Linked DNA regions of Mus musculus: all the other regions are reported to be linked to region 2. The links are microRNA targets in miRTarBase. Many come from high-throughput screens and were not tested one by one. Region 2 holds a microRNA gene; each other region holds the end of a gene's coding sequence. Distances are from middle to middle.

Region 1 (4,078 bases), not on the chromosome of region 2:
AGGCTCGGTTAACAGAAACAGAATGAAGCCCAAACCAACCAGCGTACCACTCTTTATGCTGGTCAGCCTATCCTTCTTGGGGCAGGAGCTAACATTTAAAGAGGAGTTTATTACTTGTGATTCTAAACTATATTCCCAGCAGCTCGAGTGTCGTCTGGCTGTGCTGCTGGGTAGCTTTGGCAATGCAGGTTTATATCTGAGGTCTGGAGGTCGGAGAATACAAACCACGGATGCTCACAGATTTAGTTTTGATAGGCTTGCAGACAGCCACTTTACTGCTGTCTTCGTGGAGTAGAGAGAGATGTTTTCTCTTGGTTCTCTTCTTTATAAGGACATTGATCCCACCAGCCAGTGCTCTGCACCCCTGATGCTGCCTTGTGATCTTAGCATCCTTCAGAGAATCTCTCTCTACATGTCGTTGGGGGCTAAGGACTCAGACATAAGACTTCAGGGCCAAGGAAGCCTCTGGCAGCCTCTGTTTTTAAGATTTGTTTCCAACTAGCCATGTTGAAACACACTTCTTCAGTTAGACGGCATACTCTTCAGTGACCACAAATAATTGTGTACCTTGCTGCCACCCCACAGCCCTGAGTCTGAGAGAAGAGGCATAAGCAAAGATGGTTTGCCTGCTGAGCTGCCGCACTCCTGAGGAGACAGAGGGCCCTGCCAACCACCCTATCATGTTTATTTTCTCCTTCAGTTCTTGAAGAGTCACTATGAACAAGTGGGCGTGACACAAAAGGTTTATACTGCAGTCCTGTTGCCCTCTTAGCAATGGCCTGTGGCCTCATTGGCGTGAGCCATGGAATAAGAGAAAGAGAGCTAAGCTTACTGCTTAGCTTTGTCACCCTTGCCCACCTGTGGCATCCCCTGAGAAGAATGAAGGCCACTCTGGACATGGCAGTAGAGGGTATGCAAGCTCTAGTAGCAGTTGTCCTTCCTGCCTAGGATAGCGGCCACGAGAGACAAGGAAGTATCGAGCCAGTGTCCTCCTCCCAAGCCACTCCACGAGGGCCTCAGCACCATCATCCGGTGATGCATCGGAGTGCAAGCATTTGTTGGCACTTCTGGAGGTCAAGCTGAGGGTCACCTCTTAGTTACTTTTTTTTTCATGGTTGTGATCAAATACTTGACAAGAAACAAGGAAGAAGGGCTGGTTCTGGCTTACAGTTCGAGGGGATACAGCCCATCATGGCAGTGAGGGCAGATCAGCCGTAATCTGAGGTGGTTGGCCACACTGCAAACACAGTCAGGAAGCAAAGTGTAGGCGGGATATGGGGTGGGGTGATGAAACCTCAAGGCCCACCCCCCACTGATCCACTTCCTCTAGGCCCAACCTATCCTGGGACAAAATATTCAAACATACAACTGTATAGGGGGCATTTCACAATCAAACCACAGCGTTTTGCCCCTGTCTCCAGAGGCCCATGGCCATTTCATAATGCAACATGTATTCAGTCCAAGGAGGAAATCATACTTCCAACATCAGCAGCACAGAGTTTTCCCACTCCATAACAAGGGAAGGTCATACTAAAGTAAGATCAAAACCCAGCAGGGCAAATAAATACCAAACCCTTCAGCTCTACATACCCGAGGCTCACAGTAGAAGCATTTGGGCTCTGAAGAGCTTGGGTATACCTGCTGCTACAGTTCTGCAGCCTGAAGCTCATGGTCTCTTATAGGACAGCATGAGTCTGCTGCAGAGTCCTTCAGCTGACGCCTCCTGTGTGGTCCTGGTGTCTCCAGCATCCTGAGGTCTCCATCACAGCTCAGGCGTCACTGTTACAGCACACAATGGCCTCAGTGCCTTTCAGAGCCTTGGTGCCAACTTCTGTGACCCACCTCCCCCACTTGAGTTTCGCATATTTGCACAATAATGTCGTCATGTCCCACTGCCACCTTGCAATACAATCTGGCCCACTTGGACCACAGTCACTCAGGTCTCTATTTCCAGGTATTCATTTCTAAGCAGGGCCCCCTACATTCTCAGTTCAGGCTCTCTTAACAACCTTCAAATACATTTGCTTTTTCCAGATTTGGAGCCTTTAGTGGGTGGGGTTCTGCCCTCAGGACAGCTTTCCTAGTGTCCCAGTAAAGAACACTAGATTTCTTTTTAAAGGGGCAGCTAATCACTTTAACTTCCAGGCTGCTTTTGTACCGACCCTATCTCTAATTTTAGGCCCATTCCTTTCCCCACCAGATGCTGCACCCTCCATCCCTCTGTTCCACTTGTAGCTCTCTGGATAAGAACAGTGAGCAACTCCACCACACCTGACTGCAATTGTGTCTTAGAGGCTCACCCATCAAACACAGTAGTCCACTACATGACCATGAGGTCTCAAGTACATATACTTTAGGTATATGAGGTCTTGGCACATGCGCAGAATGCAGACAGATTCCTTGTTGTAATGTAGGACAATGTAGCCCAGGTCTTAACAGAGTCCTTATTCTCCTCTAGTGTCAGGATTTGTCATAACATCCTGGTCATCTAGACACCCCCACCCCTAGGATGGTCTTCTGAGATCTGCTTTCAGCTTCTGAGGGGCTCCCCTGCCCATACTTCTACACTCTTCCATATTATTCCTGCAGATCAATTCCAAACACCGGAGACCTGCAGTCAGCCGGACCATGGCTGTGGGTCTATTCCAGTGCCTGTTTTCCATGCTATTCTTTTTATCCTTACAATGAGAAAAATAATGCTGGTTGCTCAAACAGCCAATAAGAAGCAAAGGGTTGATTTTGGCTTTTAGATGGAAGGCAGGTAGGGGTGTGTGTGTGCATATTTACACACACACACACACACACACACACACACACACACACACACACACACACACAATGGTGAGGAAGGCAGGTGGCAGAGGCACCACCAGCTAGTCCCACTGAGTCTGCCATCAGGAAGCAGAGAGTGCATAGAAAATGGGACTAAGGCTAAGAAACCTCAGAGCCCACCTCCAGTGACACAGTTCATCCAACTGGACTCCTGCCTCAAGGCCTCTCAGCAATGGGAACCAAGTGTTCAAATATACGAGCCTATGAGAGACATTTCGCATTTAAACCATAGCAGGCTCCATGGAGTCCAGGCAAGCGCTCTGTCCCGGGGCAGCATTGCCAGCTCCAGTCTTCATTTCAAACACACAAACTGCTGCTAGCACAAGCATCTCTTTATTGGTAGTTTCTTCTCAGTTACTATTACTTTCATACGAGGGAGGCTTTGTGCAGGGTCTCGCTGCCCCAGATGTGGCTCTGGATGGAGCAGGAGCCCTGCCTGTCACCAGGTGAGTCTCCTTTCCTGTCAAGAAGCTCCAACTTGGGAAGAGTGTTTCAGCCACGGCAGAGATGACAGAGGAGAGTCTCCTTGGTGAAAGAAGATAACCAAGAGCACCATATCACCCCAAAGGGCATTCACAATTGGGGTGTGGAAGATTCATGGTACTGCCATTGCATTCTGAAGTAAACAGCCTTAAAAACCTGCAGTGGCTGCTGAACTTCACCTTCGAGCTGGAGAGAGGTTTGTTCAGCATCCTACAAGCAATGCCAAGTCTTTCTTGGAGCTTTCTTTGGGGCGGCACATGGGCGCATCAGTCTGCTACACTGTGCCTGCCCTTCCCTGGCATGCCGTACTGGGGGGCACTGGTGCAGAATGCTACTTTGGCTTTCACCGATTGCCTTGACTTCCCGGCAGCCTCGGAGATCCTGTAGACGGAAGGGAGACCGGTGAGCGAGGGCCTTTGCTGTTGGGAAGAAGCCTCAGGAGGGGATGCAGAGGAGACCCATGGCCCAAGAACATCAAACACAAGGCGTGCTTCTCCTCTCTTAATGCCTTGCAGCCATGCTCACCGAGCTGAGGCAAATCAGGTCTTAGGTAGGTCATCCGTGGAATGAGAGTGGAAAATACTGTCAAGTCCTGACGGGAAGCGTTGTTGACCCACTTACGCTGCCCTAAAAGGGTGCCTCCAGTGAAAGCCACTGCTGTACTTTCCTGACCTGGACTTGATCCTCAGTCCATATCCTCTCAGGGAATACCCACTCTGAAATGGCGGCCTTCACTAGGTAGTGTTGGGCTTTCTGCCAGTCT
Region 2 (4,078 bases):
ATAGGGCCCCATCTCCTCCCCAGGATAAGAGGGAGCTCACGCACTAGGTGTCTGTGTGGGGTTTTAAGTGGTTGGCCGACCAGGGAGCGCCTTCTTGAAATGGGTACCCACTAGGTCATAGGGGCGCTGAGCTTGGGGCTTCTCAGTGCAGCCAGATGGGGAGGGGTAGGAGGTGAGTGAGGAGGCGTCGGGAGCTAGAAGGCGGGTGCGCAGAGGGACTTGTCAGAGATGAATGGAACCGCGAGCAGATCGATAGGAAATTCACGCACTAATTCGGGGAGACTTCGCCTTCCAAATCGCATTTAGCTGCACTATGAGCATCGGCTGTGTCCGTCAGTCTGTCCTCCTCAACACTCCCTCCCTTTAACCCACAAGGCCCAAGGTCAGAGGAACGGCTGGACTCCCTCCACTAAAGACAGAAGATACAATGAAACCAAACCAAACCCGCAAGTTCCTAAAACCAATTGAATAGTAATTTGCTAATTCCAGATTCGTCGAAGCAATGCTAACCAAGAGTTCTAATTGCCGCTAAAGCCGCCGCCTCTGTCAGTGTGGCAGAAAGAAATTTCACAACCTTGAATACTAAGTAAAGGAGCCCTAGCTGTGACGCCCCCACCAACATCACACGCACAAGAACACCCATGGCAACCTTATGTTTTCAGGGCATCTTGTCTTGAATTCAACGAAACAGCAATCTTCGCATCCTTTTAAAAAGCAAATTTCCTTTGCCTTTGCACACTGCAGCCTTCAGCAATCTTTTTTTCCTCCTCATGATTTCCAATAAAGCCCCCTGGACCCAGAATAAGAATAGGTAGGTTGGGGCTTAAAGATAAATTTTAAAACACCAGTAACATTAATCTCTTGAGTGAACAAGGACCCAAGCTTCCAGGGGTGTGCATGGGGACACCTCAGGTAGATGAGATTTCTCCCTCATTGGTTGAGGGAGGAAAAGAAAAGGAGTCTTCTTGAAGGCAGTCACTGGATTGTCCTCATTTAGAAAATAATCTATTTTTCTTCTGGGAAAGAATATGAGCGGAGTGTTTATGTCAACTACATATTCCCCTAGATACGAATTTGTGACCACAAAATTCCTTACACAAATTCGGATCTACAGGGTATATACAGAAGACAGACAGGTCTTCTTGGCCCAGGAAATTTCCAGTTCTCTTACTTTCCGTGCGTTCTTCTTTTGGGTGTGATCTGAATGTTTTCATTTTTATTTCGTTTTGTTTTAATTTTGAGATCTGGGAGCAGAAAAGTCACTGTGGGTCCGTTCTTGGGATTACAAGGGGTTTCAACTTTCTATTCAAAAAATAAAATAAGATTTTTTAAAAAGGCAGCTGTTGTGCAAAGGGACTCGAACCTCGTGGCTGCCGCGCGACTTTCGGTGGCGCATGAATTATTAGATGTAAACATTAGCTAAGCACAAAAGAAGGAAGGGTCATCCCGAGGCTGCCTCGAAGTCAGAATCAGGCCTTTCTGGGTGCCCTCGGCCCCTCCCCTCCCCCCATGACTTTTTTTTTTTTAAGAAAAAATACAAAACCCCAAATAGGTTCCTCCCTTGCCCCCACAGCCTTTAGTTTGTGATCAAACACATATATAGATATTTTCCAAAGCAAAGGGAGGAGGGAGAGGTGTCTGGGTGTGAAGGGGGTGTAATAAAAGTCCTTTTGGAAAAAGTGAATGCTAAAAAGAGAGAGAAAAACAGCTGTGAGGAAAAATGCTGGGAGACCAAACAGATGGCCCCCCCCCCCATATTTAATGACGGGCAATTCCGTTTACAACCTGAGAAGAAGATCAAAGGCAGTTCATTTCCGAATGAAGGGCAATGAGGAACCATAAAAGTTGCAGCCAGATGATGTGCAGGCCCCTCCCAACCTCACATATCCCCCCCATACCTCCTGGAGGCTGGAATAAGGGGACACCCCCCTAGAGGTGTGAGGAGGACCCCCCCTACCCACACCTTATCCCCAGGCAAGGATCCTCTGTCTAGAGGCTCACTAACTGGGCCCATCCACCTGCTTGGGTTGCTGGCTGTGTGGCCAAAATGGGATTCTGGAGTTTTTGGGTGAACTTCCTGAAGCTCCCACTAACATTTGACTTTTCTAAACTGAAAAAATGAGAAATTGAGGATCTGGAGTTTAAACTGGGAGAGCTGTGACCAGGTGAGGGCAAGTGTGTCCAGCAGAGTCTTTCTCACTATCACCACCGCTATAACACCCTAGGCTTGGGGGATACTTCTGCCCTTACTGAGTAAATTACAACACAGTCAATTTCATGAACATACACAAACAAGCCAAACCCACGCATGCACACACCAGGAACCCTTGCAAATGGGCAGGAGAGCTCCCACCTGCAGGCAACTGGGTCCAGAGACCTCAGTCTTTGTTGTTGTTGTTGTTGTTGTTGTTGCTGCTGCTGCTGTTATTGTTAAACCTCATAGATCTAGGCATGGCAATGTTGTCCTCTGGGTTTGTTTTCTAACCCCAATGCCCTCCTATAGGCCAGACTCATACTTAACTGGAGAGAGAGTCAGAGAAAATACATTGTAGTTTTGATCTTCATCAAAGACGGGGTTCAATTTAGTCACCCATAGACAAAGTGTGCTGCTTTGACCCAAGCATCAAGCAAGAACAGTCCTCTCAAAAGGTATTTAGAAGTACCACGACCCACTCCAATGTCCAGGCCCCTCCCCTATCCCATATCTCCTGTCCTGCTCTTGAATACTGGTCTAACTCTGTTTCAGAGAGCAGCTAGTCTACATTTTGCTGATCTATGCTTTAACAAGGGATGTGGCCCAGGTTTCCTGAGCTCCAAGGGAGAGGAATAGGGATAGAGAGATGCAAAGCTGGGTATGGTTGAACCTAGGGCCGGAGCACTGAGATTTTCGCTTTTGCGAATAGGAGAGCCACCACCTGCCCTCCCACCAAGGCGCAGCTGCAACCCCCATCCACACTCCCTCCCTGTGTAGACGCCAGGGGCGGAAGACAGGATTTATCTGCAACTCCAGGACAGGTTTCATTGCAGCTACACGCAGCCTCACCTCTCTATGTCTAGAATACCAACAACAATAACCATAACAATGAAAACACGCAGAGCCAGGGGCTTGGGCACGCTCTCTGCCCTATCTCTAGTGCTCCGGATCCTTTAGAGGCCACTTGGCTGCCTTCTCCTGGCAGCCACAGGTTGCTAGTGTGACCCCTCGCTGCCCAGCCCAGCCCTTCTCCGCCATCACAGGCCTACCCCCGGCGGCACAGAAAAATCATCCACCTTTTATGGACGAGTTGGAAGGGAAACAGAGAGGAACAGGAACCCGAGGGCCAACCGGAGGTCAGTCTCTAGCGGGTCCGGGCACCCCAAGCGCGTTGAGCATAGCAAGGGCCTGAGCCGGCAAGAGTACTCACCCAGCCGCTCCCCGCCTGCTCCAAGCCGACCGGCCGTGGCCCGCTGAGCAACAGCGGAGCTCGCTCCTGTCCACTATTGTGTATCCGGAAAACCGAACCGCGGCTGCGGGCAGTGGAACCACATGCCCCCTCGGAGGCCGGAAAAGGACTTTTTTTTTTTTTTTTTTGGTGTGTTTTTGTTTTTGAAGAGCAAGTTTTCGTATTAATCTCATACTTTGGCAGTCTTTGTTAAACAGCAGGCGCGTCACGAGGTTCTCGAACATTTTAATAATTTTTAGACGCCGTGACCTGCGGTTCACCCCTCTCCGGGCCTCCCCCACGAGCAGGCAGTTAGTATAATATGCTCACGCAGTTCGCTCGGTCATATTGAATTTTGCGCAGGTCATTACTTGGGAGAAAAACGACAGAGCAGGATTTGATTCAGTTTACCCTCTCCAGTTCTACTTTTCTCTGTTCCCCCACCCAACCCCCAACCCCCAAAAGTCTCCATTCCAATGCGATTCAAGCTGACCCGCCTTTGCTTTGATTTTTCCATCATTCCAATATTTTTGCCAGCTCCCGTGCCCAGCGCTGAGAGCAAGACCGTGTGACCCCGTGGAGGGAATCCTTCGGAGGCCCGAACACTAAACAACTATGCTGGCACTGGCACCTGAAGGGCAGAGAGTGTGTCACTG
Region 3 (4,065 bases), not on the chromosome of region 2:
CATGGCTTGTCCCACCTGTCCCTCACTCCTCTCTCCCAAGTCCTGAAACTAACAGCCCATCAGTCCTTGGAGAATACTTTCTGTCAACCTTGTCTCACCTAACATATAAAAATGATTTCTGTATTCCCCTGGGTGCATGGAGAATGACACTAATCATGTCCCTGTAGATTCCATTCCAGAGATGGATTGCTGTTTTCTAAGTAAAGCATTGTCATGTTCTTTCTCAGGCATATATTCAGCTTGCTAAAGATGATAGGATTCGTTACGACAATGAAATGAAGTCTTGGGAAGAGCAGATGGCTGAAGTTGGACGAAGTGATCTCATCCGTCGAAGTGTGAAACGATCCGGAGACATCTCTGAGCATTAAGATGGAAGACGGAGTTGTCATTGGGATTAGGCCCAAGAAACCAGTTAGGTCTCAAAGCCTTAAAGTGTCAAACTAGAACGGATAAAGGTGGTTAACCTTTGACATTCAGATCATTTTTCTGTAGCCATGGACTTTCTGTTAATACTTTGAGCCTTGACAGAAGATGATGCTGAGTTCTGCCTTTTGCTTAAGAACTGGAACGGAGACTGTCCATGCATCTGCATGCAGTGGTGAATCATTCTGCATTTGATGGGCTAGATAGACTGTGAAGTGACTTTCACACTGGTGACAGTTGTGTGGTGGTTTTGTGATGTTTTTACACTGATGACCGTTACATATGGGTGTGGCCCTTGGGTCCCAGGCCGGACCTGCTCTCCCAGCTGTGGCAGAGCTGTGGATAACTGCATTTTCAAAGAAGCTGCCAGGCTTTCCTAGATGAAATGATTCCTAGACATAAATCATGTGTAAGTTGATGTTTGTATATAATAAGCGATTGCTGATGTCCTGATAGCATTTTATAGTAGTAACAGAGAGATTTACACATCTTTCTCAAATTAAGAAATTATGTACCAAGTCTATGCATAGGTTTTTCTTGCATAGAATAAAAACTCTAATTTTCCAAACATGTTTCTGAAATTATGTATTTTAAGATGAACCATTTGGTTAACAGATTTTTTTTTTTTCAATTTTAGGTAGGGACTTTAGAAATTACTTTTCATTTGAGAGTATTCATAGAGCTTGTGTGGTATAAATTTTTAAATGAGAAAATGTGAAAAACAAGTCTGCAAAGTCAGAAATCTGAAAGCTTATCCATGACAGCTAAAGGCCTATGCAGGAGAAAGCCAACTGTGGTGAGCCAGCCAGGTCCAGCTCACTAACTGCTCTTCAGGGCCTACTCATCAAGAAATGGATTTATGTTCTAAATAGGTTTTTAAAAAGGAAAGTATCAGTGTGAAAATTAATATGATCTTTAGTGTTTGTGAATAGAATTTCTTGGAACACAGCCACATGCTTTCTTGGGTTTGTTGTGTGTGGGTGCTCTGTGCTCCAGAGACTACACTGGGAAACCACAGCATACAGGGATGGCCCTTCGCAGACAGTTTGCCACCATGGTGTCTCACGGCCACTGGCCATGCAAGGCTTTTCCTCAGATGTCCTTGATGTTTCTGTGATATTGTCACCCTATCTTGGGGTCATCACTGGGTCCCTATAAGCCTAACTGTTCTCTGTGTTAGCAAGGAAAATATTCTTTAACCTGGAATCCTGGTGTAGCACAGTACAGAAGACCACTGTGTGGAGCGAGACCCTCCTAATCTTTACTGTTGCACAGGAAAAAGTGTCTTCCCCACTTTGAGCTGGCAAATCCCATAAGCCCTTAGAGAACTCATGGCTTCAACCACCACACCACTGAGCAGATCTCTGAGACACAGGACAACAGAGTTCATACTCATGTATGTTTTGTATTGAGGAGGCTTAGAGATTGTACATTTTGGGAAAGTAAGTTTGCAGTCACTGAACTTGACAAGGTAGGAACAGAAGAACGCATGGAGGAGAGATGTAAGAGTTATATATGTAAAACAGGGTATTTGAGCTGGGTAGAAAACTTGCCTAGAATGTACAAGGCCTTGGATCCAAATCCCAGAACTGCAACTCTCCCCAGAAGAGATAATCAGAATTTTAGAGATGAATTTAAGAAAATATAATTTTTCCCGTGGATTGGAATTCTGGGTTGTTGGATGGCATGGGTTTAAGCCATAGTTTGAAGGTGGTGGAAGGAGGCCAGTGTGAACCAGTGCAGTCTGTCTTTCCAAAGTGCAAATCCAGGAGAGACGTGAGCTCTACACGCCCCTGGTTTCTGGAAAGGAACTAACTCCAAGCTGTCCTTAGAATGGAGAAAATGGTGACTCAGAGAATTGACCATGTGCTTCAGAGCAACTCAGGAGCAGCAGGCACTACAGCGATACAGGGATGCCCGGACCTCTAAGATGTAACTACTTAGCTCCTAGCTTTCCAGGCACCCTGCAGAGTGTTCAAGGACTCGGAGCTCAGTCTGGGAAGGGAATGGGAAAGGTAGAGGCCTGGGCGGAAGCCTTCTCATGGTACTTGGTTCAGTTTGGTTTTCCTTGTTTGTAAAACAAGCTTACTGATAACATTGTAATCTGCTTTCCATGTCCTGTTTTCTAACGACAGAGTCTCTTTTAAGCAAAAGCAGTTGCCAGAGGATCGGGGAGGTGTTGGGAGGAGCTGAAGGCATGCGGTGAAGCTGCACAAGCTGACAAGGGCTCAGTGCTGTTTCTACTTATTGTCATGTAACTGCAATTGGGCTGCCCTGTTTTCCAGTATCCTTAAAAACAACAAACCCTAGTTGGTCTAAGTGTGAACCTCTGAATTTAAAGCTGGTGTTAGCATACGGATGTACAGTAGCTAGAAAGCCTTCCTGGGTTCACCCGCACGCACTGGACCACCAGGGGGCGCTGAAACCACAGCTTTAATGCAGACGGAGCCATAGTGCCCATCAGTTCTGTTTGGCCATATTATAAGAATTTTCTTCCTCTGATAGCAACCCTCCTTTCTCCCAGGTTTTGTTTATTTGTTTTTGTTTGTTTGTTTGTTTGTTTGTTTGTTTTTCGAGACAGGGTTTCTCTGCGTTGCCCTGCCTGTCCTGTAACTCACTTTGTAGACCAGCTGGCTGTAGACTCGGAGACCTACCTCAGATTAAGTGCTGAGATTAAGAGCTTGCCTCACCACCACCATCAGGCTTCCTCCCTCCTCTTCCGAATTTGCCACCAGCCTGTCACTGACAAGTTTGCAAATGCTAAAACAGTGCCTGTATGTTTTGAAGTGTAAAGAACATATTTCTTTTTTTGTAATTGAGCTTAAGAGATAAAATGAATGTATTACTCATTTGTAAAACTTCCTAAGCAAAAGGTAAAATTATGCACAACTGGTAACCATCAATTGTTTATCATTCACAAATCAAATATTTTCGTTATTTAACCACTGATAGTAATTCATTATAAAACCATTCTTTTGCACAGTTAGGAATGCTGACCAAGAAACTGCATTATTTAAATTAAATGCTAAACAAGAATTTGAAACCTGTTTTTTTTTTTTTTTAACATTTAAATCAGACTCACTAGAAACTATAATGGTTTCTGATACAAACATGAAGTCCAAGAGGATCAAATGGTAAAAGATGTATTTGCACATTCCTTCTGGATAGAAAATGGTAAAAGTTGGTGAATCCCCAGCATCCTTTGATCCAGAATGTTCCTAATCTTAACCCTTAAGCATTGGCAGTGCAAGGAAAGCCTTTGTGACAGGTCATAGGAAGTGGAAACAGCTGGAAATATGTGAGGTGACCTTCAGGGTGTGTGTGTGTGTGTGTGTGTGTGTGTGTGTGTACAAACGAATTTAATTTTTGGATTTGGGTTTTACCCCAAAATCTCTTACGTAATTTTTAAAAATTTATTTTTATTTCTTGGGCATTGGTGTTTTGCCTGCATGTATTCCTGTGTGAGGGTGTCAGATTTCTTGTATCTGCAGTTACATGAGGGGCCTAGGAACTGAACCCGACTTCTCTACAAGAACAGCCAGCCCACTTAAATGATGAGCCATCTCTGCAGTCTGTAAAATTTTAAGTTTCTAACATCTGAAATTTGTACAACGTGCGCTAGGATAAGGAGCCTGCGTAACA
Region 4 (4,078 bases), not on the chromosome of region 2:
GATGGCTCAGAGGTTAAGAACACTGGCTGCTCTTCCAGTAAGTCTGGAGTTCAATTCCCAGCAACCACATGATGGCTCAAAAACATCTGTAATAGAAACCGATGCCCTCTTCTGGTGTGTCTGAAGAGAGCTACCGTGTACTTATATACATAAAATAAATAAATCATTCCTTTTTTTTTTTTAAAGGAAAATCAGAAACAAAAACCCAGTATGTTAAAACAAAACAAAACAAAACAAAACACCCAAACAAAAAGCCCACAAACAATACAAAACAAAAAACCATGGAGTTTTGCATTGGGTTCTGCCATGAGTGTAGTTAATATATCCAGTGACACTTCTAGAGTTTTATTTCATTTTTAAATTTTTTTGTTTTTTCGAGACAGGGTTTCTCTGTAAAGACCTGGTTGTCCTGGAACTCACTCTGTAGACCAGGCTGGCATCGAACTCAGAAATCCACCTGCCTCTGCCTCCCGAGTGCTGGGATTAAAGGCGTGTGCCACCACTGCCCAGCTAGAGTCTCATTCTTTAGTGTGTTGGCATTTATGTGATTTACTCTCTCTGTCTCAGTCTGCAGATTATAAAAGTAAGAGGAATTACTGCAAGCAGTTGAAGAGCAAATTATCGCACATCAAGAGGATGGTGGGAGATTATGACAGACGGAAACCTTAGAGAGATGCCAGTTGCGGGAGAAGGGAGAGGTGCATCTGCCTGCACGATGTCTCTGCAATTCTCTCCAGAGGCAAACTGACTTTGGACTCTAATCTGGGAAGTTAAAACTTTGTGATCATTACAAAGTTTCCGTGGCTTTAATTCCATCAGTTTCCTATCTCCAGTATTGAAGCATTTTATAAATGGCTTTTGATAATTGACTGGGCTGAACACTCCAATTAAGGATTTTACAGTTTCAACATTGATTCTTGTATTAAGAATTAAAATGTTGCTTGATATTTTAAATGTCAAGAAAGGTCCTGGTGTGAGCTGTGATGTGTGTTGAGCTTTGATGTGAAGGTTCACACGCCAGGCAGTGTGTTCCTCCAGGTAGACCGTCTAATCAATCTTTGCAGCAGCCCTCAGGTGACTGTTATTTAGAATCAGGTTGTTTTTGGTTTTCCAGACAGGGTTTCTCTGTGTAGCCCTGGCTGACCTAGAACTTACGCTGTAGACCAGGCTGGCCTTGAACTCACACAGCTTCTCTGAGTGCTGGTTCAGGAGTTAACGTCGTGGACCGGTATCATCACTTTTCCTGCGGTGACTTCTCCAAACTGAAACTGCTAAGGCAGTTTTGGCTAAGTCTGTTTTATGACTGCAAATGACAGCATTCCTGCCTTTGTATTTCAGGGGAAATACGATACATTATATCGGCCACGTTCCCCACCACTGTTTTTCTTATATTGACTTTTAACAAATGAATAGGATTATTTTTGGCTTTACATTTTTTCCTAACACTTAAGATCATATAAAATTAACAAGTATGTGAAATTTAAGAATTGTAAATATATATTTACGTTTGAAAGATGATTTTAAATCCAGGGTTAAAGTGCTTTTTATCTTGTATAGTTTACATGCTTTTTTTTTTTTTTTTTGATAACCCACTAGACCTTTCCATTGTATCAGAGTATCCAATTACATTTACAATTATGACTTGAATTGTATTTCACAGGAATGCTCAAGTTTTGTACATATTTTATAAGGTATTAAACCTGATGTTCTCTTTCTATAATGTGCTCATTTGATGTCATTAGTACTGTTCTATTCAGTTGTGCAAAGCTATACTAAAGTTTCAGTGTGTGAACTACCTTGGGTGCTGTGCTAGCAGGTGATTGCCCAGTCCTTGGGCAGTGAACAAAACTCTGACTAGAAATGGGATAATGTTCATAGAACAGCATGATACTTAAACAGTGTCTGTAAATCCCAGGATGTTCTTTATAAATTAAAATTTTTGTTAATAGTATAAAATTAGCTGATAGTGCTTCATAGACCACATTGACATCCAGCCCAATTTGGTCTGTTTTAGCTGAAAATGTTTTATATACCTTTCAGACATGGCAGTACATATTCTTGTTTATACAATTTTTGAATTATTTTCCAATGATAAAAATTTAAATAATGTTTTTGTATAATACTGGGTCAATTTTTTTTTCAAATTAAAGAAAAATTTTATTTTCTACATGCTGAACATAGTACAAAAAAGTATTTTCGTCCCTTTTGGATTGACATCGAGTAGGAAAGACTGTTTGGAGCTCCTTAACTGGTCATTATGTTAATTAACGTCTCCCTCTTGGAAATCATTGTTCTTTTCTGTTGTTTTGTTTTGATTTAGACAGGGTTTCACTAGGTAGCTCAAGATGGCAGACTTCAAATTTGCAGTCCTCCTGCCTCCCACTCCCCGGGTGGCAGGTAGATTAGAGGTTCTCCTCCAGGCCTGGCTCCTCCGTAGTTTATGAAGCCAATTTGCTAGTGTCCTCACAAAGCAGGTCTGTTCTGTTAGATGAAGAAAATGAAGTGGCAGGAATTATAAAACTGTGCCATAAAATTAGATGTTGGAAGAGTAAAAGAAATAATTCTTTTCCAACGTGGTGCTACCACTGCAGGCCTGAAGCCAGTACCAGGGTGTGTCCATCGGTCTGTTCAGGCAGTTTCTTAATGTAAAATAGGGGCTAGATTAAACCTTAGAGGCGTTTTACATTCTGACCTATGGTTTTTGGTTTTCATACCTACGTTCTGTTAGTAAAACTATTCTTTACATGCTTTTTTTTTCAATAGTTATGTGAAAACATAACCCTTCTTATGAAGTTCCCTGCATTAAATGATGCGCACGTGTGTGTGTTATTGTAAGTTGGTAAGATCAAGGTTTCCATTTTGAAAAGCTGAAAACATTAGAATAAACATACATGAACTAACCCCTCCCCCAGGAAAGGCAATGATGTTTTGTTGTGTGTGCTTTATATTTTTGAAATAAAGTCTAGTATTTACAGTAAATACTAGTCCACTGTTTGCAGTTAACATTGTATATACAGATATACAGGATACCTCGTTCAGTTCTCATAACAGCCTCTTAGCATGGGACTGTTGCTTGTTCTCATTTTATGGATAAGGAAAGTAGTGCTCTGGTATGTTATCTGCCTCAGCCACATACTAGTGAGTTTAGATGGAGGTGCGATCTTGATCCTTTGGACGAGGAAATCTTTATTTTTCCATCCTAGACTGACTGCTAAGTGAAACATTGTGTAGTGTAGGGCACTGACTGCTAAGTGATGCACTGTGTCATGTAGGGTACTGAGTGCTAAGTGATACACTGTGTGATGTAGGGCACTGACTGCTAAGTGATGCACTGTGTCATGTAGGGTACTGAGTGCTAAGTGATACACTGTGTGATGTAGGGCACTGACTGCTAAGTGATGCACTGTGTCATGTAGGGTACTGAGTGCTAAGTTACACCCTGTGTGATGTAGGGCACTGACTGCTAAGTGATGCACTGGGTGATGTAGAGTACTGAGTGCTAAGTGATACACTGTGTCATGTAGGGTACTGACTGCTAAGTGATATACTGTGTCATGTAGGGTTGCTCTGTCTAGTCTAAGTATCTTGTTTTAGTTTTGAATGTATTTGAAGTACTTTATATTAATATGAAAAGCTTCATCTGAAATCTGAAGAATCTGTAAAGACCTGAAAGAGTCAAGAATGACCAGAGCAGAAGGCTGATTCCCCTTGGTGTATGGGAATTCTTCACTTGCCAACACTTCTTGGGTATACCAGCAGTTCAGTACAGTAGTGTTGGGATAGCAGCAGCAGTGGCATGACCTAGCAGGGATGGCCAGGCCTGAGATGAATTGGTACAAGTCAGCAGGAGGGACCAGGAAGGACATTCAGAAGAAGTTCTGGGCTGTGCCTCTCTCGGGAAGTGTGGAGATAAACAAGCATCGCACAGCGGGCTGTACCAGCAAGCCAAGCCCCACCTCTGTCATTGTCTGTTGAGTCCTATTTATACTCCCTGCAAACATCACATGTTCTCCATGGGTCTGGCCTCAGCACATGAGTCTGACTTAGCGAAACTTCACATGAGTCTTGTCTCAGCTGC
Region 5 (4,078 bases), not on the chromosome of region 2:
GGCGTCAGGGACGGCGCCGATTGCTCCAACGGGAGAGGGGCGTGACTTCGGGCAAGACGGAGCGCGCCTGTTGGTCCGACGTTCTGGGGCGTGCCCCTACGCCTCACGAAGCTCTGTGGTTGGTTGGGAGCGATATGTGGCGGAGCTTCTCACGTGGCCCTGGATCCGCGCGAAGGGCCTGCTGGGGACGCCCGGGAGCCGAAAATACCGATGGAGGGTAACTTGGCGGGCCTCTTGGTACCGGACGCGCGTGCCAAACATTGTCACTCACTCACCTACTCACCCATCCCCCCTCCCCCTTTTTTTTTTTTTTTTAAAAAAAACAACGCAGGAAACTGTGGCTCGATAAAAACCAAGCGACACACCCAGAAAGTGACGGAATTGGGGTTAGCAGGCACAAGCCATACACACACAAAAAACAGAACCAGGCCTGCCGGATAGACCTGTAAAACCAACTGCTCAGGAAGAAGAGGCAGGACGATTGACAAAGTCCAGCCTAGACGTTTTAGAACCTGACTACAACTAAAAAAATTTTAATAGCGGGGGGTGGGGAGAACAGAGAGGTGCCTGAAGCAGCCATAGTAGCTCACATTGGTAATTCCATTTGGGTCGCTGAGGCTGGGGAACTGCTGAGTTCGAAGCCAGTTTGGGATAGCTAATGAGTTCCGATCAACCTAGGCTTCCGAGTGAGATCAAAAGAAAAGAAAAAAAAAGAGAGAGAGAGAGAAAGAAAAGAAGAGATATAACCCCACATCAAGAGAGCCGTAGGACAGAGGATCCAGAGTTCAAGGTCACCTCCTAACTTCTTGAGACCCTGTTTCAAACCTTCCCACACCAACCCCAGAAAAGGTAATGATTGCAGCTCAATAGCAGAGCACTTACAGGAGAAGCAAGCTTTTGATCCTAATCACCAAATTACCCAGGTGTCACACAAGTCTGTAAGTAATCGCAGCCCTCTGGAGGTGTTGGAGGGGAGGGTCAGGAATTCCAGACCAGCCTGTGACACTTAAAATGCCCCCGCCCCCCAGAACCAAAACAGTAAAGAAAAGAGTTTGTCCTACTACTTCATTCCCAGACTGCTCTTGGCCAACAGCTGTGGTGGCAAGAACTAAAGGCTCTCCACACTCAGCTGGCCTTCACTTTTTTTTTTTTTTTTAATTACCCAATGCAGGAGCCAAACCCATGGAATAGCACCTCCCATACTCAGAGTCTTCTGTCTTCAGTTCATCCTCTCGGTAAACTCCCTCCTAGTCACAGCCAGAGCATATCTAACTCCTAGAGGGTTGTTAACCCAAGTTCACAGTGAAGGTTAACCATCCCAGAAGCCATCTCTATTTGTTTGTGGGGTTTTTCTTTTTTTTTTGGGGGGGGGGGTGTCGTTTTGTTGTTTTGGTTTGATTTGATTCTTTCAAGACAGGCTCTCTCTGTGAAATCTTGACTGTCCTGGAACTAGGTCTGCCAACCAGGCTGGTCTCAAACTCATAAAATTCTGCCTGCCTCTGCCTCCCAAGTGCTGGGATTAGAGACACGTGTGTGCTGCCACCACCACCTGGCAACCATCCCTATTTGTAACAGTAAAAATAAAAGCAACTTTAATATCCATGAAGGGTTATACAAGTGCCCCAAGCCCTGCAAAGGTGGCATTGCTGATAAAAACCCTCCCTAAAGTGACAATGTACTAAATCACTGGCCACAACCATGAAGTCTTAAGTTCAAATACCAGGACCCACATAAAAGCTGGCTGTACAGCAAGGGTATATACAATCTAAGCACTTCTACATCAACAGAGATGGGCCAGCTAGCCTTGTGTAACAGCAAACTAAAATACATACATACATACATACATACATACATACATACATACCTTGTGGAAGAAGGATTGAAAACCCAAGTCATCTCTTGAGCTCCATATGCACATGGTTGTGTGCACACCACATGCACATACATAAATATGCATACATACATTGTACAAACAATACATACAGAAATGAAAGCAAAAGCAAGAATCCTTGAGCCAAACATATTCGGTACACAAATTCACCCAGACACAAAATTATAAGACAGCTGCTAGATTACAAACATTTTTATTTTGTCACTATAATGGAATTCTTTTTTTAAATAGTGAATTAGAAATAGCTTTGTTAGCCGGGCATGGTGGCGCACGCCTTTAATCCCAGCACTCGGGAGGCAGAGGCAGGCGGATTTCTGAGTTCGAGGCCAGCCTGGTCTACAAAGTGAGGTCCCGGACAGCCAGGGCTATACAGAGAAACCCTGTCTCGAAAAAACAAAAAAAAAACAAAAAAAAAAAGAAAGAAATAGCTTTGTTTTACAAAACATGTTTGCAACATGACTTTTCAAAAATATATTCACTTCATAAACATTTTCTACATGGCAGAGCCATGAACTACATACCTTTTACTCCATTGAGAACACAGAACAGATACATTTTCAAAGTGCTTCTGCAGCCGCTGCACCCATCCTCCCAAGAGCTGAATAGAGCAGCTCTGTTCTTCCCCAGGGAGAACAGAGCAGGGTTATCTTACAAGGATACTGAGCTACCACCCACCAAGTGATTGACTTAACTAGCAGCAGAATCAAACATGAGACTGTTTCTCATGCTTCTTCACCTAGCTATAAATAACACACAACCTCTGAGTCTCCATTAAAATAAATATGGGCACAATGGGAGGTCGAAGGTGAAAAGCAGGCAGTTCCTAAATACCGGTGGCTTACAGGATCACCAACTGAAGAAGGAGAAAGCCTACGGAGTCCTTTGCCAACCGTCCTGCTTTTGCAGTCCTGAACTTGAGAACTTGCGGAGACACCGGCTGTAGGTCTTTTAAGAAGTGGGAATTTGCAGAAAGCTGTCTACAAATATGACTGACAGATGATAACTCTGGAAAACGCCACGGATGCTGCAGGATTGCTCTGTCCGTTGTGGAGAACTAAGAGGTTTGGGGGCAACAGCATCTCTTGGGGTGGTCAACAACGTGGGTTCCCCGGAACCACAAAAACCACCCAAATCCTTGGATCACATACAAGGTGTTCCACTTCACAGCCCTCTAACTAAGACGACTCAGAGAGGAGGAGTGCTTCCTGGATATGGTGTCTGTATAAGCTGAGGTCCCCTACCCCCACCCCCCTGCAACTCGACTCTGATGAAGCCATGTTTCCTTCTGTTCAGGCTGATGTTTGGGTTGTGTGGGTCTCAACAGACCTTGGGCAGCCAAAGACCTCTTCCCTGCCTGGACGTTTGTCTGTCCAGTTGAGAATAAGGGTCTTCAGCTGTGCGCTGGTCATCAGGGTCCAAAGAGCTCGCTGCTGTCCAGTCTCTCTTCTTTGTAGAGTACGATGTTCTCCATCAGTCTCCTTTTGGCTTCATTGATCTCAATTTTCCATGAAGTCTCTGTAGCTGATGTTCAGCAGAAAACAGAAAGAGAGTACCTTCAGCAAGTGTTGCCGTTAAAATTCTCTGAGTCAGACCTTATCAGAGTCTCATGCCAAGTTTGTGAAACAGGCCCAAATACAAGTAGCATGTCATAGCTTATGCCGTTGCAGGGAAGTCTGCACCCTCCCCCATAGACACTCTAACACTCCGGCTCCCCCAATCCCCACCACACATATACACCTTTTCCACAAAGAGGCTCCCATATTCCCACAGTCATGGGAGAAGTGTGGCCATCAACAATAATCATAGCTATTTCTGTTATGAAATATAATGCGTCAAGGGGGTACCCGGTGGACTCATGACAAAGCACACCCCTGAGAAGTTACACCAAGCAACAAATCTGGTATAAGGTGATTTATTTGGGGGAGGGGAGGGGAGTGAGGACCCAGAGAAGGGGTAGAAGCAGACGAGTAGAACGGGGGGGGGGGGGGAGAGACTGTCCAGAAACACATGGTAACAGAGAGAGAAAGGAGAAAGAGCTAGATAGTGGGCAATCCTTGTATACACAGCCCGCACCTGAAGCACCTGGCTGCAGTGGCACGTGAGGACTGTTGCTAGGTCCCTGGGAGGAGCCTGGTGGAATCACCTGTATGCTAACATCCCTCCTTTTTCGTTTCATTACAAATGAGG
Region 6 (4,078 bases), 26 Mb from region 2:
CCTTCTTCTATCGAAGGCGGTTTGTGCGAGGCCCTCGGCCCCCCAACCAGCAACAGCCCATAGAGGTGAGAGGAGAGTTGCAGCCGGGGAGGCTAGTTCTCTTACATTATGGAAAGAAGTTGGGGAGTTGTGAGGGCAGAGACTGTGGTCCTCACAGGAAGTAGAACGAAGAGCAAGGAAGCTCCAAAGACATCAGGCGTTCCACAGCCCACCTAGGCCTTTGTGTATTCCCAGGGCTCTGATGGGGTAGAACCCAAGGAGACAGCACCATTGGAGGGTGATCAACAGCAGGGAGATGAACGGGTGCCCCCACCCAGATTCCGGCCCAGGTACCGAAGGTAAGACTGTTGTTTTGTCTTCCCCTTCAGGGTCCAGTGTTGGGCCTGTGTGAAATGACAAAAGTTCTAGAGCCTGGAACAGATGGGGACAAACCAAGGAATCCTGGGAAGGGAGTCTGCCCAATTCTCTGATCCTGTCAGCTTGTTTCTCTTTCTAGGCCTTTCCGCCCCAGGCCACCCCAACAGCCTACCACAGAAGGTGGGGATGGAGAGACCAAGCCCAGCCAAGGCCCCACTGATGGCTCCCGGCCTGAGCCCCAGCGTCCACGAAACCGTCCCTACTTCCAGCGGCGTCGGCAGCAGCCCCCTGGCCCCCGGCAGCCTATAGCCGCAGAGGTGAGGGTCTTGGTACTTTCTGTCCTTTTGCACCTCTACTTTCCTTGTCCCTGTCCCTCTGGCATCCTCCCTGGCCCACCCCTGGCTGGCATTACTCACCAGGAAACCCCTATGCAGGCAAGTCAAGCCCAGGGTGCCTTTGCATGTCCCATCCCCATGCCCATCTTTGGGGTGTGAAGTGTGAGAACTGGTTGGAAGGGATGAGAAGAGGAAAGTTAAGAAAAGGTTGAAGTAGGGGGCTGTAAACAAGTAAGTCTCAGTTCACCACTGCTCTTCAGACCTCCGCGCCTATCAACAGTGGGGACCCCCCCACCACCATACTGGAGTGATTCCAACTCAGAGGACACCCAGAGCTACCATCTGGTGAGTGCTACATCTCACCAAGAGCCGGAGAGGGGGAGGGGTGGTGGATTCTGCCAAGTGACCCTTTATGATTGGTCTCCCTCTCTTTCTCTTAGGTATCTGCCAGTTTCCAACTGACTCTACCCAGCATCCCCCTCCCCACTTTCCCATAATTCATGACATCAAAACATCGGCTTTTCCCTTGAGACTCAGGAGGGCCAAAGCACCAGCCTTTGGCTTTTTTCTCTTTTTTTTCCCTCTCCCCTAGCATGGGTTGAAGGAAGGGATCCATCCTTATTGTTCCGAGGCATCACCTCCCTCCCTAGTCAGGCTGAGAAGGAACCAGCCAGCTCATACCTCCTCCTGATTGTTTTTCTTCCCCACCCATTTATTTTTTGTTTCCCTTCGACCTCCCCCCAACACCTCTGAAGCCATTTTATGAACTGTCATGTGCCACCTGAGCCTCCAGTAAAAACAAAAGCAGGCTTTCTTGTTGTCCTGGTCTCTGGCTCTTCTGTTTGAGGATGAAGACTCTCTGGTGGGGCTGAGACCCGAACAGTGGGCAGGGCCTGCTAGTACTTCCTTGCTCCAGTACCCCTAGCTATTCAGTTGTGACATGAACCCTTTCACCAAGAGTAACTGGATCTGTTACTGGGGGTGAAGTCTCAGCAGTGCCCAGGCACTTGTAAATACAGTTTACAAACCACTTACTGTTCATTTAGGCAGTGGATAAGGGCTGGAGAGATAGATCAGTGGTTAAGAGCACCGACTGCTCTTCTAGAGGTCCTGAGTTTAATTCCCAGCAACCACATGGTGGCTCACAACCATCTATAACAGAATCTGATGCCCTCTTCTGGTGTGTCTGAAGACGGTGACAGTGTACTCACATAAAATAAGTAAATCTTTAAGCAGTGGATAAAAATCAAAGTAGAAAGATGTGCCAGCGCTCAGAGAGCTGAGACAGGATTCCTAATTCCAGGTCATCCTGAGCCACGTTTCTGTTTCCAGAAAACAAATTGTTTTAAAAAGTAGAGCATTTGGGTTCAGGCCTGCAAACCAGCTCTCTGGAAGGCTGAGGCAAGAGGTTTGCTACAAGGCAGCCTGGGCTATGCAGTGAAACCCTAGTTTTTGGAGGAGGGCAATGAAAGTGGATGTAAATAAGTGACAGCTGGGCATGGTGGCACACGCACACCTTTAATCCCAGCAATCGGGAGGCAGAGGCAGGCGGATTTCTTGAGTTCAAGGCCAGCCTGGTCTACAAAGTGAGTTCCAGGACAGAGAAACCCTGTCTCGAAACCCGCCCCCCCCTAAAAAAAAGGTGACAGAATCTAGAGGCCTCGGTGCCCTGAGCCCAGGAAGGATGAAGTGCAAAGGGTGAGTGAGGCATTTTCTTTTTGCACACCCTCCAGTTCCTCCAGCACAGGACACTCATCTTCAAACAGTGACTTTATGGACGAATCTCTATATACACATTTAATACAGCAGCCCTTGGGTTTCTGCTCCCTATCCGTTCTTCAAAACATACAAAAATACCAAAGGCTCCCTCCCAACCAGTGTTTATAGGCAGCCTTTCAAATCCCCTCCCGCCCTTAGTTGGTCAGAAGCTTTCGGGTTTAGCACCCTTCCTGGAGGGGAACAAGAAAGTGTTGGTACCTACGCTTTGCAGCCCTGGGAACAACCTAGGGCCCCAAATGGAGACTGATGCGCTCTAACCGTCCTTGCCCTGTCAGGTATGTACTATTGTGTTCCTTTGCCCGGGAGGGTGGAGCCTGTGGGGAGGCAGGGCTAGATTTTGGGAGGGTGTATCCTTTGCCCTGGAGGGGTCAAGACAACCCCCTTCACCCAGAGCCTGTGTGGCAAGAGTTCAGTGGAAGTGCCAGTTTGTGGGAGGAAAGCACTCGCTCACACACCCACCCCTGCTGTTTATCCTGATGAATTCAGGGCCACCCCACCCTCCTGCAGACCCCTTCTCGAAAGGGGAGGAAAGTAGTCTAGAGCTGAGTCTGGGTAGGGGCAGGAGGAAGGCAGGACGGAGAAAGCCCATCTAGGTGGCCACAGCCTAGCCACACACATAAATAATCCAAAAGAATCACACAGGGGGAATGAGGGGTACATGGACCACCCCTCCCTTCAGCTTCCCAGTTCCCCAGGCTGCTGTTCCTTCAACCTGGAGGTAACAGGGAAGAGAGGGCTAAAGTGCTGTAGAGGAAAGGAGGGAGTCTGGGTGGAGAGGGTGGCTCTCCCACCCTGTTTTGCCCCTCAGTCATTCTCATCTGGCCCTAAGTATTCAAGTTCTGTACTGGGTTTCACCTCCTGCTCTAAAAGGGAAGGTGTCCGTCGGAAGGCAGCTGAGATCTGGTCAAACGTCCGGCCTCTGGTTTCAGGCACTTTTAGGAAGGTGAAGATGAAGAAGCCAAGCAGGAGGACGGCAAATAGAAGGAAGACGTAAGGACCCATAGCATCCTGGGACAGTTGGAGAAAGAAATGTTGACAGAGATGGGAAGCCAGGAACCAAAGACTAAGGAAACTGGGGCTATGTGAGGAGCAGGTTTGCTCCCTTAAGAGGCAGTGGCAATGACCAGAAATGAAAGCTTTCACTGAAAATCTCATTTAGCTTTTTTACCCTTTGCTCTCCTAAGTGTACAATTGGAGTAGATTTCTAAACCACTTATAGCATTAATAGAAAGTTTAAATTATACCACTGGTTTATTTTTTAGAAGACTTCTAAATCTAAGCTGCTGGATTTCCACCTATTTCCACCCATCTATTTCCGCCTGCCTCCCCCTTGATTGTGGTGAAGTAGTTCCACCAGACCTATCTTCCAGAGACCACCTACATGGCTGGGAGTCCCTGACCAGACAGTGAGGGAACTGGGGGGGGGGGGCCGGGAGGATTTGCCTTCCCTCTGGCCACGGATGTGGGAAACTGGGCAAAGGGTAGGGAACCTACCGCAACATACTGGAAACCCATGCCGACAATGAAGTTACAGGTCCAGTTGGAGAAACCAGCGACAGCCATGGCGGCTGGGCGGGGGCCCTGGCTGAAGAGCTCTGCCACAATGA
Region 7 (4,000 bases), not on the chromosome of region 2:
TCTTTCCTTTCCCCCTTTTTTTCTCTTCCCTAGGGTGGGTGGTAAAAGACTAAAGATAGTGTATGTAAGAATTTGGTAAAATCAAATATAATTTCTCCAAACACCACTGACAATTTAAAATCAGAGAAATAGCTGAGTTTCAGTTTATTTGGGAATAGCAGGATGTTGTGATCCTGAGTATGTGTGATTACACTACAGTACACTGCTAGGTGCATATGGAAGCTATGCAGAGGGAAGTTTTTAAAGACAAAAGAAATATGTAGGCTGCAGGGCCTTACTTTAGGGGGTGCTATCAGCTCATTAGTGGACAATGTCTGACAGGTGGATATCTTTGTTCAAGTGGCTAGTTATCTTCATATGACTACCTACTGTCCCTGTGGGCTAGTTGTCCTGGTGTGACCTAGGTAGCAAGCTGAAGCTGTGATGTGTGTGTGTGTGTGTGTGTGTGTGTGTGTGTGTGTGCAGAAATCAGAAGAGGCGTAAGATCCCCTGGAATAAAAAGTCCAGTCCTCTGTAAGAGAAGCCTAAGCCATCTCTCTAAGCCTTGTATTAGCAATTTTTAATTTTATGGCATTAAATTGCTCTCTAGGACCTTTGTGAATGTTAAAGAGCATAGTACCTTACCTGTGTCATTGCTAGTCTTTTAGGTCATTACCACTGACACTCTCTTGTGACTTTATCTTCCCGTAAGTGCTCGGAAGTGATGAAAGGCAAACATTATTTTGTTGAAGATACCTGATTTTGTTTTGAACCTTAAGGATTTATTTTAACAAGTAACTTACTCAAAAGGAATTGGGGGTGAAGGAGAATGCGCATGCACGGGGCTGGGGAAGGCTGGAGACCTGGGTTTTATTTTCTTCAAGGTTCATTGTTGAACACAATGTAGAGAAGATGAGCAGGGGTACAAACGGCAGCTTAGTTTCCCAGCTCTAAAGTGGCTTATAGATCCGTTATGGCCTTCAAAACAATCATTTATATCCACAGTCCCTTGAAATGGTGAAGTAGCAAACACTACTGTAATACATTGACTCAACATCTCTGGGGCCTCCGGTTCTAATCTCTGAAATGTACAATTCCTTTGTAAGGATTCCTTGCAGGTGTGAGAAGATCATCCTGTAGTGTCCGACATGCCTCAAATCCAATCATAAGTGTCCTTATAAAGGACAGTCAGAAGAGATTTGGAGAAAGAGAAGACGAAGTGAAAGCAACAGGACTGAAGTGATATGAACCCAAACAACAATCTGCAGGAGGAAGCAGGGACAGACTCTATAGGAGCCTCCCAAGTCCTGGCCCAGTGACAACTAGATTTTGGCTCTATAAAACTGACATTGAACTTCTGGCCTGCAGAAATACACACGGGTAAACTTATGTGTATTAAGCCATCAGGTCCTGAAAACACAGTAGAACAAACTATGCACTAAGGGCCAGGTTTGTAGGTAGCTCTGTGACAGGGCTGGGTGGTCAGTTGGGAAAATGAGAGCCTTGATCCTTCTCCTCAGGAGGTCTAACAGAAGCTGTGGGAGGCTGTCATCCAATTAAATTTCAGTTATCCCCCATTCTTTAGCTATTTCTAGTTTTGATTAGAAATCATTTTATCAGAGAGGTAACTACACCACAAAAGTACCAAATTGCTTCAGGAATGAAATGTCTTTGCGATTTTATAAGAAAGCTAATGGCTTTGAAATAGACAGTAAAGATAGGTGTTAAAATAATCAATTTTGTCAAAAAATCATCTGGTAAAGCAATTGGTTCTGTTGGTTAGGTAATTCATGGGGAGAAAATGGACTTTCTGAATGCTATTTTAAAAGCTGTTGCTTACTGAAAGCATCTCCATGTGTACTCCATTTGCATTATTTAATAGTTTTATAGCCCTTCCATAAATTTTCATTTTACATCTGAAGAAACAGCATCAATGGTGTTGAAGAACTTTTCCTAGATACAGGGTAAGAAGTTTCACATCCCACCATGTCTCACGAGTTACTTTTTGGTCTTTTAGAGCCTTATCAAGACAGTTATTGGTGGGATATCCAGTTAGGTAGTATCTGGGTACAACATAGTTTCTGGGTGCAGAAAAGACCAGTGGCATTCATGGCTTCATGTGTAACCTATTTCATTTTGATGGTTTTGTGACACAGACCGTAAGATGAGTGAAAGATATCCAGACTCTAAAATAAGGCAATTATTGTCTTCTCAATTTTTAAAGTTAAACATTTTCACAACTTTACTCATTCATTCTAATTTATTGCCCTAAAATATGACACATTTATTTGGGTTAATGCAGAATTGATTAGGATGGCTTTCTGGAGAAGCACAAAAAAATCACTGCTCACCTAGGGGAGTTGGAGCTTCACTGAGCTTTGAGTAGAGGCAGACTAGAGCTGAACCTCACAAGGAAAGGACAGGTATAAAGGCACAAGTGAGAACCCAACTGGTGTCTTGCAAGCAAAAAATGAACGACTTAAGAGATCACAGCTGCTAGCAGGAAGGTCATAATTAGCAACCGTAGGGTCACATTACAAAGGAAGGACAGGATAACTAACTCTATGCACTAAGTCATTTAGCAGCCACAACTCCATGAGTTCCAGGACAGCCAGGACTACACAGAAAAACCCTGTTTCAAAAAAAAAAAAACAAAAAAAAAAAAACAAAAAAGTTATACGTGCTTTACCCAATTACAAAGAAACTTTGTGGTTTGAAACCACTGAGATCTTAAGCTGAAAGTTTCAAACTCAGAAGTACTGTTAAATTGACTAAAAATCCAATGTTACGCATGATACTGTACATCTGTAATTAAAACGTTAGTGACAGGGTGTGTGTGTGTGTGTCAGGAAGCTATATAGGGTGTGTGAGCTATAGGTCAGCCTAAACTATATAGTGAGACCTTGTCTTAAAAAGAAAACCCTGACACCTGGAATTTTTCTTGGAAATTCTTATTTTGCAGATCAGAACTGGAATCCAATCATCTTATCCCCACATGATACCAGTGACTTTGGTGCACAATTCTAAGTCTAGGGATCACACCTTTAAGCATTCCTGGTCTAGGTTGTAAAGAACACAAGACTGTCTTTGAAAATGTTTTCTCAAAACATAAAGCGTATGAAACTAAGGCATTACGTTATTGTATCTGAAGGACAGTATGAACGTGTTCACATGCAATGTTGTCCAAAACACTTCTGTGACAAAAACCTTCCCCTTTCTGTGCTGTCCAATATGGACTCTACCATCAGGTGCATAGCTGAAGTGTGGTGAATGCAACTGAAGGTGTGCAATTTTCATTAACTGAGATGGTCACATAACTAGTCGATACTGATGCTTCATGAGTCAAACCATGGGTTTATTTGGGAGGGTGACCTCTCTAATTACTGCTAAGAAGTTAAGGATTGGGTACAGACATAAGAAAGCTCAGGTACATCTGAAAGTCTTCGTTGGCTTTGGAGATGAGGTTGTCACAACCTACAGAGGAAGGAACTCCTGAGGAGAATTCAGTGTGATCGTCCCAGCCCCTAGCTAATGACAGTGGAAACAAAGGCCTAAGGCTTTGGTCTCTCAGGAGAATGCCGCTGCCACAGGGCCATCTGTGTCTGGATATTACTGAGGTGATAGAATGCTTATTTTCGGACAGGATTTCCAGAGCCTGTGGTAGGCTTAGAGGTAGGAGGAGGTAAGGGCCCAGGCCCTTTCTGACCACTGGCAGGTGGTACAGGCCCTTTCTTTTTTGGGATTAAAATCTTGTTCTTGCTCTTGAACACTTTGCTGGGGTCTAGCTTGTTCACAAAGTTGTCGGACTCTTCTGTGAGCAGGCTTGTGTTGTAGGTGATGGGTTTGTACATACTGAACCATTGCTGTAAGGCACAAATAGAGTCTCAGTTGGAAGGAGAAATGGGGGAGAGCAGGCGACAGTACAGACATTACAAATTAACTATCACTAACCTACATTTTTTTTCAGTGTCAACTGGTAAAGTACATGCGATTATTTCAAAATTGAAAATGCTGTAAAATA

What was found. The annotated mature microRNA mmu-miR-10a-5p reads UACCCUGUAGAUCCGAAUUUGUG and lies in region 2 at 1,096-1,118, opposite strand. An mRNA with a match to its seed (bases 2 to 7 or 8) in the 3' UTR can be bound and repressed. Matches are read on the target gene's strand: a 7mer-m8 pairs with bases 2 to 8, a 7mer-A1 pairs with bases 2 to 7 and ends in A, and an 8mer does both.
Region 1: miRTarBase lists Ttc23 as a target of mmu-miR-10a-5p. The part of its 3' UTR that is shown has no 7-base or 8-base seed match.
Region 3: the mRNA of Tfam is a reported target of mmu-miR-10a-5p. Seed matches in the 3' UTR shown: 8mer at 1,946-1,953 and 7mer-m8 at 3,001-3,007.
Region 4: miRTarBase lists Ocln as a target of mmu-miR-10a-5p. Seed matches in the 3' UTR shown: 7mer-m8 at 1,115-1,121 and 7mer-m8 at 2,321-2,327.
Region 5: the mRNA of Irak2 is a reported target of mmu-miR-10a-5p. Seed matches in the 3' UTR shown: 7mer-m8 at 2,269-2,275.
Region 6: the mRNA of Slc2a4 is a reported target of mmu-miR-10a-5p. Seed matches in the 3' UTR shown: 7mer-m8 at 3,261-3,267 and 7mer-m8 at 2,299-2,305.
Region 7: the mRNA of Tpgs2 is a reported target of mmu-miR-10a-5p. Seed matches in the 3' UTR shown: 7mer-m8 at 2,609-2,615.

What each region holds. Positions count from the first base shown.
Region 1 is chr7:67,725,646-67,729,723 of GRCm38, reverse strand. Ttc23 (tetratricopeptide repeat domain 23) reads right to left here. Exons shown (of 11, transcript NM_001168475.1): 11 at 3,148-3,696. The coding sequence ends at 3,582. Among named protein-coding and RNA genes, the nearest start is that of Gm34140, 10 kb to the right of the region's middle.
Region 2 is chr11:96,314,226-96,318,303 of GRCm38, reverse strand. It overlaps Mir10a (microRNA 10a), which reads right to left and starts at 1,139; the gene lies at 1,030-1,139. It overlaps Hoxb4 (homeobox B4), which reads right to left and starts at 37. Exons shown (of 2, transcript NM_010459.7): 1 at 1-37. It also overlaps a transcript of Hoxb3 not described here.
Region 3 is chr10:71,224,862-71,228,926 of GRCm38, reverse strand. It overlaps Tfam (transcription factor A, mitochondrial), which reads left to right. Exons shown (of 7, transcript NM_009360.4): 7 at 228-3,450. The coding sequence ends at 368. Among named protein-coding and RNA genes, the nearest start is that of Tfam, 11 kb to the left of the region's middle.
Region 4 is chr13:100,495,405-100,499,482 of GRCm38, reverse strand. Ocln (occludin) reads left to right here. Exons shown (of 9, transcript NM_001360536.1): 9 at 568-2,979. The coding sequence ends at 669. Among named protein-coding and RNA genes, the nearest start is that of Gtf2h2, 4.8 kb to the right of the region's middle.
Region 5 is chr6:113,693,002-113,697,079 of GRCm38, reverse strand. Irak2 (interleukin-1 receptor-associated kinase 2) reads right to left here. Exons shown (of 13, transcript NM_172161.4): 13 at 2,054-3,412. The coding sequence ends at 3,300. Tatdn2 (TatD DNase domain containing 2) reads right to left here and starts at 30. Exons shown (of 8, transcript NM_001347356.1): 1 at 1-30.
Region 6 is chr11:69,940,094-69,944,171 of GRCm38, forward strand. Slc2a4 (solute carrier family 2 (facilitated glucose transporter), member 4) reads right to left here. Exons shown (of 11, transcript NM_009204.2): 10 at 3,966-4,078; 11 at 2,193-3,479. The coding sequence ends at 3,276. It overlaps Ybx2 (Y box protein 2), which reads left to right. Exons shown (of 9, transcript NM_016875.3): 5 at 1-65; 6 at 235-338; 7 at 497-674; 8 at 953-1,037; 9 at 1,133-1,510. The coding sequence ends at 1,003. Among named protein-coding and RNA genes, the nearest start is that of Slc2a4, 6.1 kb to the right of the region's middle.
Region 7 is chr18:25,135,298-25,139,297 of GRCm38, forward strand. Tpgs2 (tubulin polyglutamylase complex subunit 2) reads right to left here. Exons shown (of 7, transcript NM_001004361.2): 7 at 740-3,842. The coding sequence ends at 3,609. Among named protein-coding and RNA genes, the nearest start is that of Tpgs2, 32 kb to the right of the region's middle.